Drosophila melanogaster: one gene and its partners. The protein of the gene in region 3 purifies or fractionates together with the protein of the main gene of each other region. This does not show direct contact. Each region holds a gene or a part of one and is shown on either strand. Other genes may lie near its edges. The genes, in order: Slu7, CG1532 and CG6171.

Region 1 (3,756 bases), about 14 Mb from region 3:
AAATGTACATTCATTTTTGCAAAACGAAAATCTGTAGCTTACAAAAATATCAATTCTTTTCATCTTTTACTATTCAACACTACTATTTTGGCTGCCACTGTGTTTCAGCCCGTTTGTGTGTGTACATTAGGCAATCGCTCAAACGACAACAGTCCGTGGAACAAAAGTCGAAAATAGTGCGCGACCATCATCTGCTATGGTAATATTTCTAGCGTATAAATCATTCCAAGGAGTGCAACTTTGTTTATTTCGCAATTCCACAGATTGTTGTTTAGTGTACACTAGTCTCGCCACTAGTCTAATGCGCATCCAATTGGGATATAACGCGTTTTCTAATTGGCAATTTGGTGGGAACAAGTACATACTTAGTTGCCCTTTTTCTTCGCACACAATCTTGGGTACTTTCAGTGTCGTTTAGCTTTGATTACATATGTATATTGCCATTGCTTGCTCACTTTTTTATGCAAATTCTTTGTGTTCATGTATGGCAAATATACTCACACTTTCACACACACATACACACGCAGTCAGCTTTTTTCCACAGATTAAACAACAAAGAGAGAACAACAAGAATTTCTAATGATGCCTCTCACTTGCACTTCTGCCACCCACCAATACACGCGCGTCTCACGCCCACTCCAATTGGAAACACCTGACGAAACGCCAATAAGTGCGCTCAATTAACTAAACTAACCCGTCCAATTGGAAAATTTGTAATTTTCTAATTGGTGAAAACGAAGGTCTTCCAGCTGGCAGAGTTGCCGTACTGTCCACCTGTCAGCTTGACACTAACGAACGCAGTGTTGGTAAACATACGAAATGCGCACTATGTTCGTAGTTCAAATATTATATTTCATTGTTTTTTAAATTGTATGCTAACCACTCCGCTTGGCTATGAGATACACGTTTCGCTGACATTTTTCGCTTCACAATCAAGCACCACACACGGAGTAATATTTAGAAAGTCCCATCGATGGATTTTATATACATATACCACTCTCTTATTTTCTTGCTCTCTCTACTGTTGGTATATAGAAAATGTTTAACGTTTCAAATGAAAAGTTATTGAAACGCTTCCTTACAATGTTTATGTGAAATGGGTATGCACGACACCAAATAGGCAGAAAATATTGCAATCAACAATGAAACAAAAAGAATAAAATAATTCATATGCGCGCGCAGGAACTTGTATATCAGAGAAAAAGTGTTCAGCTATGTGTGCGAAAAAATTAAGGATGCCTTCACACTAGAGCACACACACACACACGCTCGACATATGTATGCGCTTATACACACACGCACGCACACAGTTAAACGCACCCGTTTGCACAGCGTTATAAATTTATTGGTTTTCCCAGGCAATTTCCTTGGTTTTCCAACGAATTCGAACAGTTTCACAAAATCACAGTGTCCACCATTTTCCGTTGCATTGCTGGGTAGTTTTCTTATTGGCTTTAAAACTGTTTCGCGTATTACTATTGATAAAAATGTTCACTTCACTCCAATTCTTATTGGAAAAACGTTAGCGATGTGCCAAGGTGGGCGATACATATCGTGGGGGTGCTACAGATTGTCCAACACTTTCGCTGTTAAGCCAAGTGCTTCTCTGCTTGCCAACACTTTTCGATAACCGATAACATAAAAGAGAAATAAATATTACAACTAATATTATCTAGTAAATAAAATCAGGCAATATGAGCTCGGGGCCCATGCGCACGCCGGTCTCGCAGATCATTCTGAGCAAGCACGACCAGGATGCCGAGGAGGAACCCAAGAAGAAGTCCCGTGAGGACTGGCGCAAGGCCAAGGAGCTGGAGGAGGCTCGAAAAGCGGGAACAGCTCCGGCCGCCGTCGACGAGGAGGGTCGCGACATAAATCCCCACATTCCGCAGTACATATCGAATGCACCATGGTATTACGGATCGGCTGGGCCCACTCTCAAGCATCAGCGACCGCAGCACGAGGACGAGCAAGGACAGCTGGACAAGAGGGCGCCCAAAGGACTTAACACCGCACGCATCATTACCAAGTTCCGCAAGGGAGCCTGCGAGAACTGTGGCGCCGTCACACACAAACGAAAGGACTGCCTGGAGCGGCCGCGGAAAGTCCAAGCCAAGTACGCTGAATCCATCGTCGTGCACGACGAGCATTTGGTCAATGAAGCGGCGGTGAACTATGACGAGAAACGAGATCGCTGGAGTAGTTACGATCCGGCCAATCACAGAGAGATCATTGAGGAGTACGAAAAGGTGGAAGAGGCCAAGCGACAACTTAAAGCAGAGAAGCTGAAAAATGGTAGGTAAAAGTGAATTCAGAGTGCTTATAGTTGAATTAATATCATTCGCATGTACCCCTTAGATCCCGATGCTGAAATATCCGATGAGGAAGGCAACGAGGACAAATATGTGGACGAAGTGGACATGCCCGGCACAAAAGTGGACTCCAAACAGCGAATTACAGTGCGCAACTTGCGTATCCGCGAGGATACGGCGAAGTACCTGAGGAACTTGGATCCCAACTCGGCCTACTATGATCCCAAGACGCGCTCCATGCGTGACAATCCCAATCCTGCTGTCCCCGAAGAGGAGTGAGTAACAAAAAGTTGCACATATAAAGAAATTTCTTAACTACTCATTCTTGCAGAGCTGAGTTTGCTGGCGAGAACTTTGTACGCTTTTCTGGAGACACTACAGCCCAAGCCACCGCCCAGTTGTTTGCCTGGGAAGCTCATGGCAAGGGGGTTGATGTGCATCTGCTAGCGGAGCCCACTAAGTTGGAGCTGCTTCAGAAGGAGTACGAGCAGAAGAAGGAACAGTTCAAGTCAAGTGTAAGTAATTGAAAATGGAAATTTCTTGGAAACATTACTATATCCATTTCCTTTATTTTTCCAGACCAAAACACACATTGTGGAGAAATATGGTGGCGAAGAGCATCTACAGGTTCCACCAAAGTCGCTATTGCTGGCGCAGACCGAGGAGTACATCGAGTACTCTCGCAGCGGCAAGGTTATCAAGGGCGTGGAGAAACCGAAAGCGCGCAGTATCTACGAGGAGGATGTGTATATCAACAATCACACAACAGTTTGGGGCAGTTTCTGGAACGCCGGACGCTGGGGTTACAAGTGCTGCAAGTCCTTCATCAAGAACTCCTACTGCGTGGGCATGCAGGAGCCAGAGGGCTACTCGGAACATCATTCTACGAGCTCCACTGCAGCGGCTACTACAGAACCTGCAGCTCAAAGCCAATTCAAGGTACCAGAAGTGCCACCTGAAAGGCCCACTTCCGAAGTGGACTCAGCATCGAGTTCGGAACCCTCCTCATCCGAAGAGGAGGAGGTAAAACCTGAGAAGAAGAAGACCAAGAAGAAGTCGAAGAAGCGCGAGAAGAAAAAGAAGGCTAAGGAGCAGCGAAAACAAAAAGGCAAGAACAAGGAGACCAAGGACAAAGATAAGACAAAGGAAAAAGATATTCCCGAGGAACTGGACGATCGCAAACGAGCCTATAACAGCATGTATGATGTGAAGGCGCCCACAGAGGACGAGATCGAGGAGTGGAAGAAGAAGCGGCCAAGGGCAGAAGATCCCATGCTGCAATTTATGTAGGCAATAAAGTACAACTGATTCTCTTATATAAAAACTTTCTAATCTTAACAAGTAAAACATTAGGGGCTTACACAAACGTCATTTTGAATATTAAACGATCGCATACTGCTCGTACAGCAACTCCCTGATCTTGTAGTACTCCTCGGATAAGCAT
Region 2 (3,756 bases), on a different chromosome or scaffold from region 3:
AGAGGTGTTAGAATGGCCCCGCCAGCTGCTTTAACCGCTTCTTGGAGAGGTGGCTGCTGGGCCGCCGGAATGGCAAAGGCGATTCGTCCATAGGCCTTAGCTCTATTAATTGGCTCTGAGATCTGGGTGATCTCCAGTGAAGCCTGCTGTTCACCGTAACTCAAACGCACGCTTGCTTCGTTCTCCTCGAGAACTTTCAGTTGCAGCAAATCGTGCCAGTATTTGCGCGAGTTTTGAAGATTGCTCACATTAAGCTCCACCGATTGGACAGGATCAGAGCTGGCAGAGGCCTGATCGATCACATAGAACTTGTAGCCATCGGGCGAGGTCAGCAGACTACCGGCTTTTCCAGACACCTGTGTCACAGGATACGAGTGCTCGGCGGCGCGGGAAAGGATATCCTTGGAGTGTATGGTCACGCCCCCAAAATCATTGCCTGAATCGAAAAGAATAAGTATCGATTAACAGGATTTATAAGTGTTAAAATTAACTTGGGAATTAATACAAAGGGAATCATTAAGTAGTATATTTCAATTACTGTACTGTACTTTTTCAAACATCTTCAAACATTCAACTCACATACTTTCGTTTTTAGTTCATTTTGTGATAGACAGAAATCTTCATCGCGGTTTTAACTAGAATGACTGATAGATTTCGACCTACTTATAGATAACTATTTCCGTATTCATAAAGAAAAAGATTAATAACCTACTATCTTTACGTACTTAAGACAAGTCACTTATCGAATAGCTATTATTAGTGAAACACTTAATTATGAAGTTGTCGAAGATAGAATAACTCATTTGTACTTTAAGATAAGCCATCCCAATTTTACTAGTGTTAGATTAAATATTTTGGATTATAACTCGGTAATCATTTATAGGGTTGTACATTTTTTCAAATTTCCAGAAATGTGTACATATGACTGCTCAAAGCTTAAATATGCGATTTAGCCTACCATCACTGAAGTTTCAAACTTTTTCAACTCTCAATTCTTATTAAAAACGCTTTAATGCCTGATAAAATAAATAGGTATTTTAGGATGATATTACTTAGCCGCTGTAAGGGTTAAAACGTTCCCGCTTGTTAGCTTGCACTCAGGACTTTTAATCCTCATGTGAGCCTAACATTTTTATCCGGTATGTGTCTTACCCATTTCGTAGCTGCTCACTCCATAGTTATACGTGAGTTCGATGACGAAATGCGAACTTTCGGGTCCATAACCCACCATTGTTTTGCTCCACCGATTGTCATAGGGCCTGTGAAGGATTAACACTACCAGTTAGTCCTGTCGCAACACTCCGAAATAGCACTCACCCGTTGCAAGCTGCGTCGCATCCCTCCTTGAACTCCTCATGCCGCAGCACCTGTTGCCGTGCGAACGAGCGGGATGGCGATAGAAGGGAGCAAAAACGATGAGAGAAAAATGAAATTTTAACACAGTCATTATATGACATTATCGGGCATCTGGGCTTTTTAATTAGCAGCCGCGCGTCGTTGACACGTTGTCCAGATAAAACTACAGCCAGACACAACAGCCTGCGATAAGGAAGTCTGCCGATTTCTGGCGATACGCCCGCCACACCCAGCTTACCGTCATTCCCAAGATTTGCCGAAAGAAGAAGGCGTTTTTCGCCCGATCTCCGATTTTGAACACATAGTGCAGGGCGCGTCCCGATATGGCCGACATCTTTGTGTTTATCAGCTGGCGTTTATTCAGCAAGTGCTTTCCGATCGAATTTCGGCCTTGTTTATGTACATTCCGTTTCAGTGTGGCCGTGCGCAGAACAGCAAATATTCCCAGCGACGGGAGCTTTTGGAAGTATCGATATTTTTTAGTTTAGACTAAATAATAATAAATTTAAATACACTGTAAGTTTTAAATTATAAAGTGCGCTTTTTGCTGATTGACATCTACGAGGAAAAAACTAATGACTATCGCACCTTCAAAAAACGAATATCGGAATTTACCTTTTGTGACACAAAATTTTACACTTGACAAATACACTTTAAAAAAAGAGTATATCCAAAATGTTGTCACAAAAGTCCTTCCATGAAAAGCAATTATCGTCAACAGTTTTATTAGGCACTTAAAATATGGAGTAAGCGAGCATATAAAACGTATAAAATACGAAGTAAGCGAACATATAAAACTATTTAATACATTGTAGTAGCAAGGATAAAATGTCGTGAAAGTAAGATATTTAAAAATTTTCGCTAATGCGTCCTAGCCACATTTGCATGATAGTTCATTGGATATACACTACGCGTCATCAGATTAGCGCCCCCTGCATGGCTCCGTTCATTTTTATTTTCTGGTTTTGCCATTGCACGAAAATTCATCAATGTTGTTGTTTTTTGTTCACTGACATTCCCTCTCTCCTTGAGGATAAAAAAAAGGTCCTAAGGTAAGGACAACAAAATTTGTTATGCTGTTGAATTGAAAAGTTTGCTTTAAGAGGAACCCTGTTATCCCTGCAGGAAATATACAATATCATAGCATTCTATTAATGCTCATAATCATAAAATTTCAGAAAACCCGCCAGATGTCGCAACCCTATAATAAACTTTATTCAAAAGAACGAAACTTATGGAAAAAAAAAATAATGGTGGCAATAACCTTGTCTTTACCGCGGCAGATCGCAGGTCCATACTTCGAATACCTCCCAATTCCCACGACTTCTCCGCCAAAATTCGAGAAAAAGTGTTGAAAACCAGATCAAATCTTTGATTCAAATGGTGATTAAGACAGCTAAACATAAAACACGAAAAACTGAAAATAAAACCACCTCTCAATAAGTTGCGAAAAAAAGCGGGTCTGAGTTTTGCTCGAGCTCATTTGACTTGGTCTAAGGAGTGGCGTCGTATTTTCGGACAAGAAGAAATTTAATCTGGAGAAACCAGACGGCTTTTTTCATTACTATTATGATTTGCGTACATTTTGGATCGCTGTCACAGTCGGGTTATAGGTAAATTGCAGTTTTAAACACCAAAAATGAACGCAAAAGATTATAATTCAAAACTGCATTTCCCTACTTTAGAAACGTTTTTGGAAATTTAGAATGACATTTTCAAATTGACAGTGTCTCAATCCACACTGCACGTTTGGCAAAAACATGGATTCCATACTACTACCACCATACTACTACTATATAATAGATAACGTGTGGGTATGGTTGGCTAGGAAGGTATACGAGGGTGGTAAACAATATGCCACTCAAAACGAATCGTTCACCGGAATAAAACTCGATTGGTCTGCGATTACTTTGGATTACCTACAAAAAAAATATATGATTCCCTTTCCAGACGAATGTGTGAAGTCCATAATTTCCTTTAAAAATATTCTAATTTAAATATTTAAGTGTTAATCATCCCAATTTCTTTCGAAATGAATCGAACCAACTTAAATTATCTTAGGGGGCGTTATCCTGATAACCCAATTTTAATTAACCCATTTATGGATTTTTTTTTTACTTAAATAAAAATCTATAAACAAGAAACTGCATCCTATATAAATTTTACATTTATAGAATTGTTCAACGTTTGAATGAAAAGCAATTTTCAAAACTCTAGCTTTAACAGTTTTCTAAATATCTCAAATCAAAGATTTTTGCTCAAGGGGCGCTAACCTGATGTATGTAACCGGACGTATATGGATAGGTTATAGTTGATCATAAGGCTTTCGAAGGGATAGGTTTGTAGTCATGGAAATGCCCTTCCAGTCGCGCCGAGTCTTGCGATTCTGCGTCCTGCTCT
Region 3 (3,679 bases):
ATGCTTTCAGTTTGCACTTCCTTGACAAGTCCGCAAAAACGCATTCCAGCGGTACCGAAAATGGCTGAACGGGTTAAGTTGCGGTGCGCCAGCAAACATGAATCCGGAGAAGATCCATCCCAAGATACTTCATTGAGCAACGAGGTGTGTTGACCAAAACTTTATTCAGAGAATACATTTCAACCCATACAACCCATAATTTTAAGCAAATTAATCTGGTCGAACATTTGGTGTCGGAGCTAAAGGAGCAAAATCTATATATGGAGAACTTTATGGAGCCCCTACATTTGAGCAAAGACTTGGAGCGACTGCAACGACGTGTTGAACAATTGGAGATGCGAAACACCATGCTGGCACTGACGCTAGACGAATGCAAGGAGCACACTGAGCATCTGTATCTGCTATGCGGAAAGTACGAGTCCAATGCGGTTGCTCTTCAGTTGGCGCTTAATTGCAGTGATCGCGCCATCGAGGCCTACGACGTAATGTTGGCTCTGCTCGAAAGCAAGTAAGTACAATCACCATAAGACGCGGGTTGTTGTCCCTATTTCACAATTCATCACTTCCAGGTTGGCACTGCTGGGGGAGAAATCAGTGGCAGCGGAAGAGAGTCGACGATCGGTGGAGGCGGTGGCCAGGCACCTGCTAGCCCGTTTGGATAGCGAGAAAAACGTTTGTGAGAACAGCCTGGGACCGTGGCAACACAACATCAACCTGGGCCCAGAGGATGCCCCAAAAACTGGCCGCCCGTGGTGTGCCGACGACGACAACCGCCTGCGTTACCACGTCTCCAAGCTGAAGGGACGTCGTTCCAATGTCCAGCATACCATTGTCAGTTTGGAATCACCCTTCAGCGACATATACGAAAGAAAGCGCCTGGCTTTGGAAAAGGAGCACGAACTTCGGAGCGCGGACAAGAAGTCACCCATTGACTTGGAGACAGCAGTGATTATGCAAGAAATACTCGAGCTGCGGGATTCGAATTTGCAGCTGAAGACAAAAATGGAAGAGGCCGAGCAGGAACGGCAGAACGCCAACGAACGAGTGGGCATACTCCACGAAGCCCTAAAGCAGCTACAGGCAAACAACCGGGTCTCGTATTCGGAGGCGGAGCATGCGGCTCTCACAGAGCAGCAGTTGGTGGAGGCCTTAACTCGAGAAACGGAGCTCAAGGGTCGCATACAGACGCTATTGGCAAATGTAACAGCTTCGCAGAAGGCCTTCGACGAAAAATACGAGCAACTGCATCAGAACGTGCGTGAACTGCAGAAATCCAACCAGTAAGATTCGTTTTATTTTGACTGTTTCATACATAATTTCTTCATATTTCCCTTTTAGCAATCTGGGCCAAATGTTAGATCACACCAAGCGCAAGTACCAGCTGCGGGTGAGGAAGCTAGAGCAGAAGATTGTTGACCTGCGGCTGGACTACGAGCAAGGCCATAACCATGTTCCTGAGACTACTCTGTAGGAAACGCATGACGACCTTCCAGGAGGACTGAGCAACTGGGCGTGGAGCGGGCGCGCTTGTCACATATCCCGCAAAAGATCTTTCCCTCTCGATCATATCGCTTATTTTACCTTTAATGCAATGACCACCCGCCCAGCAGTCGCCGTGGATCCGCCATGACCAAGACAGTATCACGAATGTGCCATGCGACTTAATTGCAGTCGGCTGGGGCTTGGGCGGTGTCCCTGCCTCGCAGATAAGGCTGCAGTAACTACATACTCAAATACATACATATTCAGAGGTGCCATGAGCAAGGCTCCACCAACCTATCCATAGATCCGTGGGATTGGAGCATCCGTCTATGGGCCACAAGCAATTACATATACACACATACGAATAGACAAACTAAGGAGTTATTCAAGACGCATACACGGGATCCTATATTTATACAATGTATTCGCATTTTGCTTGTTATATGATTCAATATGTATTTAAAACTGTACAAAATATAAAACGTCTACTAAAACTCGATAAAATTCACGAATTTGAAATTGGCTCCAATAATTAATCGATAAGCTAATGAAACTAACTTAAGCATCCATCACCATTTCGTGTAGTGTTGCAAATCACCAGAATCAAGTATATGAGTACTTGTGAAATAAAAATGTTTTGAAAATTTAACTTAATTTACTTAAAATGAGTGCCACAGATGCATCTACAGCCGATAGTGGCGCTAAACGAAAATCTTCTGAAGATATCACACACAATTGCAACGCAAATTTTGGCGCAGAAAACGGCCTAAGAAAGCGCGTAAAATCGGAGGAGCCTGTGGCGTCCATTAAAGATGAAACAAATCCTGAAGTTCCTATGAAAATAAAAGCTGAGCCAGTGGAGAATGCAGATGAGCCCACAAGCACTACTCCTGCGATCAAGATTAAAGCCGAACCAGCGGACAATGGAAACTCACCTGCAGCTGCGATGGTAAAAACCGAGCCCACTAATAGCAATGCACAGGACGCCGCCGACGAGTCTACCGTATCTTCAAGCAGTATTAGGACTTCTTGTCGCTTCGGCATACGATGCTACAGGTGATTCACACTAACCAACTCCCATATTACCAACTAAAAATATACCTTTTTCCAATGACAGGCGAAATCCAGCTCATCGTAGTGCAGAAGCTCATCCGGGGGATCAGGATTACCGGCGACCAAACTTTCCAGCGCCACCCCTCGGAACTCCAGCTTGTCCTTTCGGTAACGCATGCTATCGCCGTAACCCAGTTCACTTCCAGGATTACTCCCATCCTGCGGATTGTAAGTAGAAGGCTTGGCATACTTCGGCTTCAAATTGGCTAAAGCCCATTGTAGTCAATTCCGCGCAGAACATTCGAAATCGTCTGCGTCAACGGCGAGCCCAACGGCAGAACGACGATGACTCGGGGACGGATGAGGAGGATGAACCCTTTGGTGGCGACAATGACAGGGATGCGGACTACCGTCCAGGCGCAGACATAAACGAAGATGAGGATGATGAGCTGGAGTTTGATAGCCAACCAATAAGTGGGGATGACTATGATTAGACTATAAATTCAAATTCGCTGTTAACTTAGATGATACGTTCCATTTGCCGAATAATAGGCTTTATATATATATATTATATTCTGTTGATGAAAACTTATGTCTATGGAGTTCCATTAGTAGAAGCCCTCGTCAACTTCATCGGCTGGCTTTTGATCAAAAGTGGCGCCCCATTTTGCAGCCTCTCCGCCGCGAACTTTTACATTGTAGCAAACATTCTCGGCCTTAAGAACGCTCTGCTTCATGGTAGTGATCTTACGCCATAGTTCACGGGCTCTCTGACAGTTTAGACTGATGTAACTGAAAACAATAGGAAGTTAATTGAGTTTCTTAAGGGAGAACTAACCAACCCGCTGTAGAAATGCTGCAGGGCCTTGCAGGTGTCCAAACAGGTGTCTGTATCTCCACTGCCTAGCGAATTTATGCAGCGGCGCATCAGTTCACCAGTAAGATCCGAAAGTCCAAGTATATATTCCGTGGGGTCTACGAAAAACTGGAACTTCTTTGGGCTCTCAACCTGAGCTATAGCCTGAACATCTTCGCCTTCAGTTGGTTCTTCCTTTGGCTGGCTGCTCTCCTCGACGTACTGCATCACCGCCTGAATGGCCTGCCAATCTGAAACGCTCTTGGTTTCGTTCTCGCCCTCAGCATC

Evidence for each region.
Region 1: the proteins of CG6171 (region 3) and Slu7 purify together in Drosophila melanogaster (affinity purification with mass spectrometry, with the first as the bait; one large-scale study listed by BioGRID). This does not show direct contact.
Region 2: the proteins of CG6171 (region 3) and CG1532 purify together in Drosophila melanogaster (affinity purification with mass spectrometry, with the first as the bait; one large-scale study listed by BioGRID). This does not show direct contact.

What each region holds. Positions count from the first base shown.
Region 1 is NT_033777.3:29,036,929-29,040,684, reverse strand, and holds Slu7 (Slu7), read left to right. Parts: upstream 1-1,613; 5' UTR 1,614-1,694; coding exon 1,695-2,295; intron 2,296-2,358; coding exon 2,359-2,587; intron 2,588-2,643; coding exon 2,644-2,827; intron 2,828-2,891; coding exon 2,892-3,602; 3' UTR 3,603-3,627; downstream 3,628-3,756. Other genes in the region: Cpsf100 (cleavage and polyadenylation specificity factor 100), read right to left, coding at 3,693-3,756.
Region 2 is NC_004354.4:21,026,586-21,030,341, forward strand, and holds the start of CG1532 (uncharacterized protein), read right to left. Parts: upstream 1,777-3,756; 5' UTR 1,691-1,776; coding exon 1,595-1,690; intron 1,368-1,594; coding exon 1,318-1,367; intron 1,260-1,317; coding exon 1,153-1,259; intron 437-1,152; coding exon 1-436. Other genes in the region: CG1529 (uncharacterized protein), read right to left, coding at 3,672-3,756.
Region 3 is NT_033777.3:15,362,236-15,365,914, reverse strand, and holds CG6171 (uncharacterized protein), read left to right. Parts: upstream 1-2,057; 5' UTR 2,058-2,146; coding exon 2,147-2,538; intron 2,539-2,599; coding exon 2,600-2,763; coding exon of another isoform or gene 2,764-2,771; exon of another isoform or gene 2,772-2,817; coding exon 2,818-3,029; 3' UTR 3,030-3,119; downstream 3,120-3,679. Other genes in the region: CG34404 (uncharacterized protein), read left to right, coding at 11-144, 207-508, 570-1,280, 1,339-1,471; Trax (translin associated factor X), read right to left, coding at 3,144-3,327, 3,378-3,679. UniProt on the Drosophila melanogaster protein: Displays apurinic-apyrimidinic (AP) endonuclease and 3'-5' exonuclease activities in vitro.